2 linked regions of the Oryctolagus cuniculus genome follow. The protein of the gene in region 2 binds, or shares a complex with, the protein of the main gene of each other region. Links are inferred from orthologs where the notes say so. Each region holds a gene or a part of one and is shown on either strand. Other genes may lie near its edges. The genes, in order: ARMC8 and RANBP9.

Region 1 (3,806 bases), on a different chromosome or scaffold from region 2:
TACTCCAGCTTCCTTAATTCTCCCTGCTCTCCTTCCATCCCCCCCCCCCCCCCCCCCCCCGCGCTTTAGACTTCCTTATCTACTCTAATAACTTGAAACTTACAAGTTGTAGAAGGGACAGTGTCTGGTAACGCTGCTCTTCGGCTAGGATTGTTCCACCGCTATGGTGTCATTAACATGCTCTCATTTCTGCCTGTGGTCTGTGCCAGTCCTGCAGAGCATTCCCCAGGAGAGGGAGTGTGCTGCTTCACTCCCCTGCTGCTTGTCTGGGGAGTGCCTGCCAGCCCCAGGTTCTACATGAGAACAGTGCCTGTAGACTCTGGCTTTGGAAGTGAGGATGAGATCATGTGGTAAAAAATGAATGGAAAGAATAAAAAATAAGAGTTCTCATAGGAGCCCCTGCAAACAATAAAATGTGTTTATGTGATCAGGAAACAAGGCCCTTGATAGTATTCCAAACCAGTAACCTAGTTTTAAGAAAGGGTAACATAATTGCTAGGTGTTCTATTGGTAAATTAATTTAGTCCTTTTCAAACTTTTGTTGTAACATTGTTTCCTCTGCCTTGTTTTTTTTTGTCCCCATCTCCATCTCATATACCTGCTCTAGTTTTGCCTTCCCTTCAGTCTTGTAATTAGGAAGGAAGCAATGTCCCACTTGAAAGGCTCTTGGTAATTTTTTGAAGTTCCCTTTGTCTTACAACGCTGTATTTTGTACAGTGTTCTTACAGGTTTGATTAGGGACTTATCTAGTTCAGTTTTAATTGCTGCTGCTTCCTCATTATTGTTCTATTACTTCAAAATTGATTTTAATTTTTCTATAATTAATTCTGACTTTCACAGTACTCTTCAAATCATGCAAATATTATTGCCATTCCTTTGAGGCTTCCTTTTAGTATTTTAAGCAGATTTAAATAGTTATTTTTTCAGGAGAAGAGTTTAGATTCTGAGCCATTAAAATAAATGCACTATTTGTTCTTTGATTTTTACAGGTTCGAATGCAAGCACTGAAATGCTTCTCCGTTTTAGCTTTTGAAAACCCCCAGGTATCGATGACCCTGGTGAATGGTAGGCTGAAACTTTCAGTACATCTATAAAATTTAATTTATGAACTTTATGAATTTAAATAAGTTTCTTAATCCTTTTGTTTGTTTGCTTCTAGTTTTGGTTGATGGAGAATTATTGCCACAGATTTTTGTGAAGATGTTACAGAGGGATAAGCCTATTGAGATGCAGCTCACATCGGCAAAATGGTAAAAGTCAAGACAATGTGGGAGAAAAGTGCTTTATCCATCTCTTAGAGTATTTTTGGACAGTTTCAGTCCCTCTTGCTTTGGGATTTTGAAAATTGAAAGTCATGCCACATTTTGCTAAATGAAAGTCATTTTTAAAATTTTATTTGAAAGGCAGAGAAACAGAGATAGGCAGAGAGATCTTCTGTCCACTGGTTCACTCCCCAGGACTGAGCCAGGTGGAGGAAGCCAGGGGCCTGGAACTCAGTCCACATCTCTAGTGTGAGGAGAGGAAGCCAAGTATTTGGGCCATCACCTGCTGCCTTCCAGGGAGTGCAGTAGCAGGAATCAAGCAGAGCCAGGACTAGAGAACCCAGGCACTCAAATACTGGGATGCAGGTATCTCAAGTGGCGTCTTAACCACTGTGCCAAATGCCACTTTAGAGGTCAGTTTTTAACATTCAGTTTATTACTCATAGTATGCAGGACAGGAACTCTCATATATATCGAAGACCCATCTACAGAAAATTACTTTAATGTCCTTCCCTGTCTTTGTATTTCAGTTGAGATGATACAAAATTGAAATAGATACAATTAATGCACATTATCCTAGTATCAAACCACAAAAATGAAAATATAGACAAATGTAGAGAGAATTAATTAAAGATGATAACCAGGGAGTGATTTTTTTAAAAATTAATTAATTTATTTGAAAGGCAGAGGCAGAGAGAGAGATAAAGAGAGGTCTTCTATCCCCTGCTTTATTCCCCAAATGGCTGCAATGGCCAGAGCTGCACCGATCTGGAGCCAGGAGCTTCTTCCGGGTCTCCCATGTGGGTGCAGGGGCCCAAGCACTTGGGCCATCTTCTTCTGCTTTCCCAGGCCATAGCAGAGAGCTGGATTAGAAGTGGAGCAGCCAGGACTCTAACCGGCACCCATATGGGATTCTGGCACTGCAGGCAGTAGCTTTACCTGATATGCCACAGCGTTGGCCCCAATGGGACATGGGGGATGATTTCTGAGAAGGAGACTTTTTTTATCTCTTAAAAGAACAGCAAACAGAATCTTAGATATGTGATATTTTGTATGATAATAGTGTAAAATTAGCATAATTCCTATCTCATGTAAGCATCCAGTGTGTGTTCATTCTGCAATTACCAATAGAGGTAATTACGGGTATGTTGAGCATATGTATGGTTCTATGCTAAGTGAAGCTGTGGCTCTTTAATAGAGAATTAGGATTTTCAGTGAATTACTCATGAAAAGTAACAGCTACAAAGATTTCAACCTTCTACAAAATAAGTATAAAAGAATTTTCCTGATTTGTGTATAGTTTTCTCTAAAAGCCAAACATAGAATGTTTTACTTTTTGCCCTGGGACTGCCTTCTACTGGTTTATTTCCCAAATACCCATAATGCCCAAGGCAGGGCCTAAAGCCAGGAGCCAGAGAAGTCAATCCAGGTCTTCCATGTGGGTGTCAGGAACCCAGTTATTTGAGCCATGATCACTGCCTCTCAGGGTCTGCATTAGTAGAAAACTGACGTCATGAGTCAGAGACTGGCATCAAACTTAGGCACTTATGAGTATCTTAACCAATAGGCTAAATACCCATTCCAGAATAATTAGTTTTTGATGAATAGTTGTGTTACAAGTTAAGTGGGTCTTTTGTGCTACTTCTACTGTATTGGAGTTAGACTATCTCAACTTCATTTATAAACTGAGATGTTTTGTTAACTTTTTAATATTTCCTCCTCTTTTATTATAGAAAATTTAAAACAAAATAACAGAGAAAAACATAACTCACATGTACTTAGCACAGTTTCAAAATGTCTGCACTTATTAGGCCGTCTATTTTTAAAACAATTTGGTAGGTTTTTTTGTTTGTTTTTAGTATCTGGCTTACTATCTATATGTGTGTGGTTTTGCTTCAGTTATTAAATTGAACCTCAGGTAAAGGAAGGTCAAAATGTCTCTCAAGATACATGGTAGTAGGGACCAACATTGTGACACAGTGGGTGACGCTGCTGCATACGACACCAGCAAACCATGTGAGTGCCAGTCTGTCCAGCTGCTCCGTTTCTGATCCAGCTCCCTGATAATGGCCTGGGAAAAGCAGCAGAGGATGGAACTGTTTTGGCCCCTGCTACCCAAGTGGGAGACCTGAAAGAAGCTCCTGGCTTCAGCCTGGTCTAGTGCTGGCCATAGGGACCATCTTGGGAGTGTACCAGCAGATCAAGATTCTCTCTCCCTCTCTCTCTGTAACTGACTTTCAAATTAATAAATAAATCTTTTTTAAAAAATGATAGTACTTGTTTTTTTGTGTTTTATTTTTCATAAAATCTCAAAGGCAAATAATTTTTCTTTTTAAAACTTTAAAGCCAAAGGTAAAACTTACTTTTTGCCATCTTATTCCAGTTTAACTTACATGTGTAGAGCAGGAGCAATTCGGACAGATGACAGCTGTATTGTGTTAAAGGTAAGCTAATGAAGTCTCCCTGGAAACATGGGAATTACAGTTCTATAAGTATTGAGTATGTATAATAGCATTCTCACTTTTTATGTATTTATCATTATAG
Region 2 (3,906 bases):
GTACAAGAGGGAGGGAGAAACAAAGTGGGGGGGAGGATGACCAACAACAGACCGTTCTTCCAGAAAGAATGGTTTACAGTTTATGAAAGAGTGACGTTTCCAAAGTGAATCTAAGTCTCACACAACAGAAAGCAATGAAGAAGCCATCAGGACAGCTGAGACAGCCGCATCATCAATAATCCAAACTCCAACCAATTTCACAGAAACACGCGCTCTCCACTGCCCCACATCATCAATGTTCTGTTTACACAACTCAAAGCGTGCGCGGCGCTCAACAACCTGTAATCACGCCTCGTAGGTGCCCTGGAAATCCAGGGCTGGGAATTTCCTTACCCACCACCCAGCCAACTCCCTCTCTGCTCCCAGGAACACACGTGCAACGGCCCTGCAGGGAGGCTGGGGTTCTCCCAGTGCTCGCCACCTTTCAAACGCGCAGCTGGCAAACTTCAGGGGGAAAGTCCTGTCAAGTCCAACAAAAGCCTGCTGGCAGCCAGATCACGCGCAAACACTTCAGAACACCGGGCGGTCCACCCGGATCTGAGAACAGAAGCATCACTTCGCAAGGGAACTGACGAGACAAAGACGCCGTGTTCCCAAACGTCCAGCCTCCAGGAGCATCGCGTTAGGAACGGAAAGCCCTGCTCTGGATACAAAGGAATGCCAAGGAGGCCTGTTCCTGCGCCTGGCTCCCCGCGGCCAAACCCTCTGCTCGGTTTCTGCTGCCACTGTCCCTTCCGAATAAACAGTAACTCATGTATCAAGGTTCTCCACCAATTTCGTGCCTGTATACTTTTGAGAATTCAGCCACAAAGTTGTTTATACCTCTGCGGAGAGGCCACGCACTGGGCGCTGGGTAAGACCCTCCCTTTGTAGCCAATCAAAATGAGGCTGCTCTGGACGCCAAAGCTCCGGCCTCGGGTTTGGGGCCTAAAACACTGCATCTGTTTCCAGACCGCCTGCTACGCGAGATGGATCTTTTCATTCCACACAAGCAAACTTCGATGCATGCTACTGACAACCTGGGCTACATTTCAAAAATTCCCATGGCAATTTCTAATTTCATAGGCAACTGATTTGCTTAAAGCTTTGTTGCACGCCCTAGGAGAAGATGGGGGGGGGGGGGCACCACCAGGCTAAGGTTGGTTGCTTTTTTTTTTTTTTCCACTGCAGGTGTAAAATATAATCCACTTTCCTTTAAGCTACTGAATGACACTGGTTTTAAACCGCTCGCTTTTCCGCAAGACTTCACGCAACACCAACCCGGAAACACAGGGCATCTCGGAGCAGGAGTGACAGGTTTCTGCTCCCCTAGCAAGCGCAGCCTCCCACCGGCTTTCAGCGGGAGACGGGGCTGGCAAACCTGGGCCCCTCGTCCTTTTGTCCCCCCGCAGACAGTCCCTGGCCTCACTGCGGGCCCAAACCCTCCACCGCCTACTCCTCCCCCAAGGCCTGCCTCTCCTCCTCTCCGGAAGAAAAAAGCACGCCCGAGCCACCACCTGGAGAACAATGTAACCCAGCCCGAGCCCAGGACCGACCTCGCCGCGCCGTCCTGTCATCCCGGCTCCCCCGCCCCGGGGCAGCGCGCTCCCCCTGTCCCCCGGCCGCGGCCCCGCGACCCCTGCGCCGGGTCACCGCCCAGGGCCCGGGTCGCGAGCGTCGCGGGCGGCGGCCGGACACGTCGGGTCAGCGCCCCCGCTCCCCCACCGCAGGACACACGCCCAGTACCTTTGTAGTGCACCCGCAGGTTGTTCTGCGAGAGGCCGATGTAGCTGAACTTGTCCTTCGGGCTCCAGGACCGCGGCAGCGGCGTCTCCTGCTCGTCCACCGCCGGGTAAAGGCGCTTCAGCCGCCGCTGCAGCTCCTTCTCCTGCTCGTTCAGGGCCGAGTCTCCGTGCGGGAAGGGGGCCGCGGCGCTGCTGCCCGCCGCCAGGCCCGGGGCCGGGCCGGGCCCCGCCGAGAGGCCCGGGGGCGCCGGGGGCGCGCTGGCGGGGGCGGCTGCCGAGGCGGCGGCGGCGGCGGCGGCGGCGGGGGGCGGCGGCGGCGGCGGCGGGGCCGCGGTGGCCGGGGGCGGCGGCGGCGGCGGCGGCGGCGGGTGGAGGAGCAGCGCGGCTGCCGCGGCCCCCAAGCCGCCGCCGCCGCTGCTGCCGCCGCCGGGCGAGCCTGCCGGAGAGGAGCCGGCGCCGACGGCCGGGGGCGCGGGCAGGACGACTCCGGAGACCGGGGCCACGGCCGCAGGCGGCGGCGGCGGCAGCTGCTGCTGTTGTTGTGGCGGCTGCGGCGGCGGCGGCGGCGGCGGCGGCTGCCCGGACATCCCGGCCGCGACTCAGCCTGCGGCCACCTCCACCTCTTCTCTCCTTCCTCCTCCGCTGGCCGGGGGCGCTGTCGCTGCGGCCGCCGGCACCAGGCGCCGAGTCCGCCCGCCCCGGAAGCAGGCGGAGGGGCCGCGCGCGCCCGGGGAGAGCGCGGCGGTTGGGGGGCCGCGGGAGTGGGCGGCGGGCCCGGGCAGGCCCCGAGAGAACGTTGGCCGGAGCACCCCAGGCGCGCGGGGGGCCGACGCGGGCGGACGCGGGCGGTCGCGGGCGCGCTGGCGGCCGCCGCACCGCAAGCTCTCGCGGCTGTTTCCCGGCGGGCCGGCGCGAGACGCTGCGCGCGGGCGGCGCCAGGCGAGGGGGCGGGCCGGAGGCGCGGGGGGCGGGCCGCGGGGTCCCGGCTGCGTGCGGCGAAGGCCCCTGGGCCGCGCCCGCTCGCCGGCGCGGGCGCGGGGCTCCCGACGCCGCGGGGACCTGCGGGGACGCTCGCGTCGGGCCTGCCGCCCCCGCCTCACGGCCGCCGCCGGCCAGTCTCCGCCCCCCGGGCTGCTTTTTGTTGTCGTCGCCCCACCTCCGCGCCGCGGGGCTCCTCCGGGCCGCCGTGAGGCGTTGCGCCCAGGCGAGAGCAATCGAGCCCCGCTGGGGCCGCCGCGAGCCCGGCCTGCGGGCGCCCCCGGAGCGCTCGGGGAGCCCCGGGGCCGGTCGTGCGGAGCTCCGAGCCCTGGGGGCGGCGTGGTCGCGGAGGCACAGCCCGCTGTCCACGCTTCGCGGCGCTCAGACGGCCTTGACGTGGATCACCTGGGCGGTGGAAACCATTGCCGAAAGCCGAGTGTCCCGCTTGAGAGAGGAATTGGACGAGCACCCCAAGTGGACTTCACAGTAGTACTGGGTGCTGTTTCGGAAATGCTAACGGAGCGGCGACGAGAACTGTAGGAACACCGGGCTAGGATGTTAAGTCTTTAGGAAGGGCTTCTAGAACCAGTCAGACGTTTTACAGACTCGTGCATCCCGCTAACAGCTCGCTTTGTTAGGTTAGGAGAGAAGTACGCCCTGTTTCAAAACCAGGGAATGTTTACGGAGGTCAGCAGAGCGCTTGGTCCGAGCAGCTGATTCGCACGACCTGCCAGACCCGACCCGTGTTACTGTTGCGTTGTCACTACCTCCGTGTGTTCGGCTTACCCTCTCCTAGCTAGCAGAAGTGGGCTTTATGTTTACAAAGACCGGATGTATACACATCCTTTTTTAAGATTTATTTATTAGAGAGGCAGAGTTATAGAGAGAGAGGTTTTCCATCCGCTGGTTCACTCCCCAATTGGCCGCAACAGCCAGAGCTGCACCGATCCGAAGCCAGGAGCCAGAAGCTCTGGCTTCTCCAGGTCTCCCACACAGGTGCAGGGGCCCAAGCACTTGGGCCGTCTTCTACTGCTTTCCCAGGCCACAGCAGAGAGCTGGATCGGAAGAGGAGCAGCCGGATCTCGAACTGGCGCCCATATGAGATGCCAGCGCTTCAGGCCAGGGCTTTAACCAGCTGTGCCACTGCACCGGTCCCACCCCATTTTTCTTTAAAAAATAATAATCTCGAGCCTGGCATTGTGAC

The links.
Region 1: the proteins of RANBP9 (region 2) and ARMC8 are in contact, whole or in part, in a cryo-EM structure (PDB 7NSC), measured with the Homo sapiens proteins. The link is inferred for Oryctolagus cuniculus from reciprocal best matches to the Homo sapiens genes RANBP9 and ARMC8. Residues at the interface, in NP_005484.2 of Homo sapiens: Tyr271, Gly298, His299, Ser300, Leu301, Gly302, Ile303, Asp337, Asp340, Tyr341, Arg343, Glu344, Thr347; in NP_001350870.1 of Homo sapiens: Gln245, Arg246, Asp247, Val277, Leu278, Lys279, Ile317, Ile320, Thr321, Asp322, His323.

The regions. Positions count from the first base shown.
Region 1 is NC_091435.1:143,475,612-143,479,417, reverse strand, and holds part of ARMC8 (armadillo repeat-containing protein 8), read left to right. Parts: intron 1-989; coding exon 990-1,065; intron 1,066-1,159; coding exon 1,160-1,250; intron 1,251-3,645; coding exon 3,646-3,706; intron 3,707-3,806. UniProt on the Homo sapiens protein: Component of the CTLH E3 ubiquitin-protein ligase complex that selectively accepts ubiquitin from UBE2H and mediates ubiquitination and subsequent proteasomal degradation of the transcription factor HBP1.
Region 2 is NC_091436.1:156,925,159-156,929,064, reverse strand, and holds the start of RANBP9 (ran-binding protein 9), read right to left. Parts: upstream 2,633-3,906; 5' UTR 2,312-2,632; coding exon 1,726-2,311; intron 1-1,725. UniProt on the Homo sapiens protein: May act as scaffolding protein, and as adapter protein to couple membrane receptors to intracellular signaling pathways. Acts as a mediator of cell spreading and actin cytoskeleton rearrangement.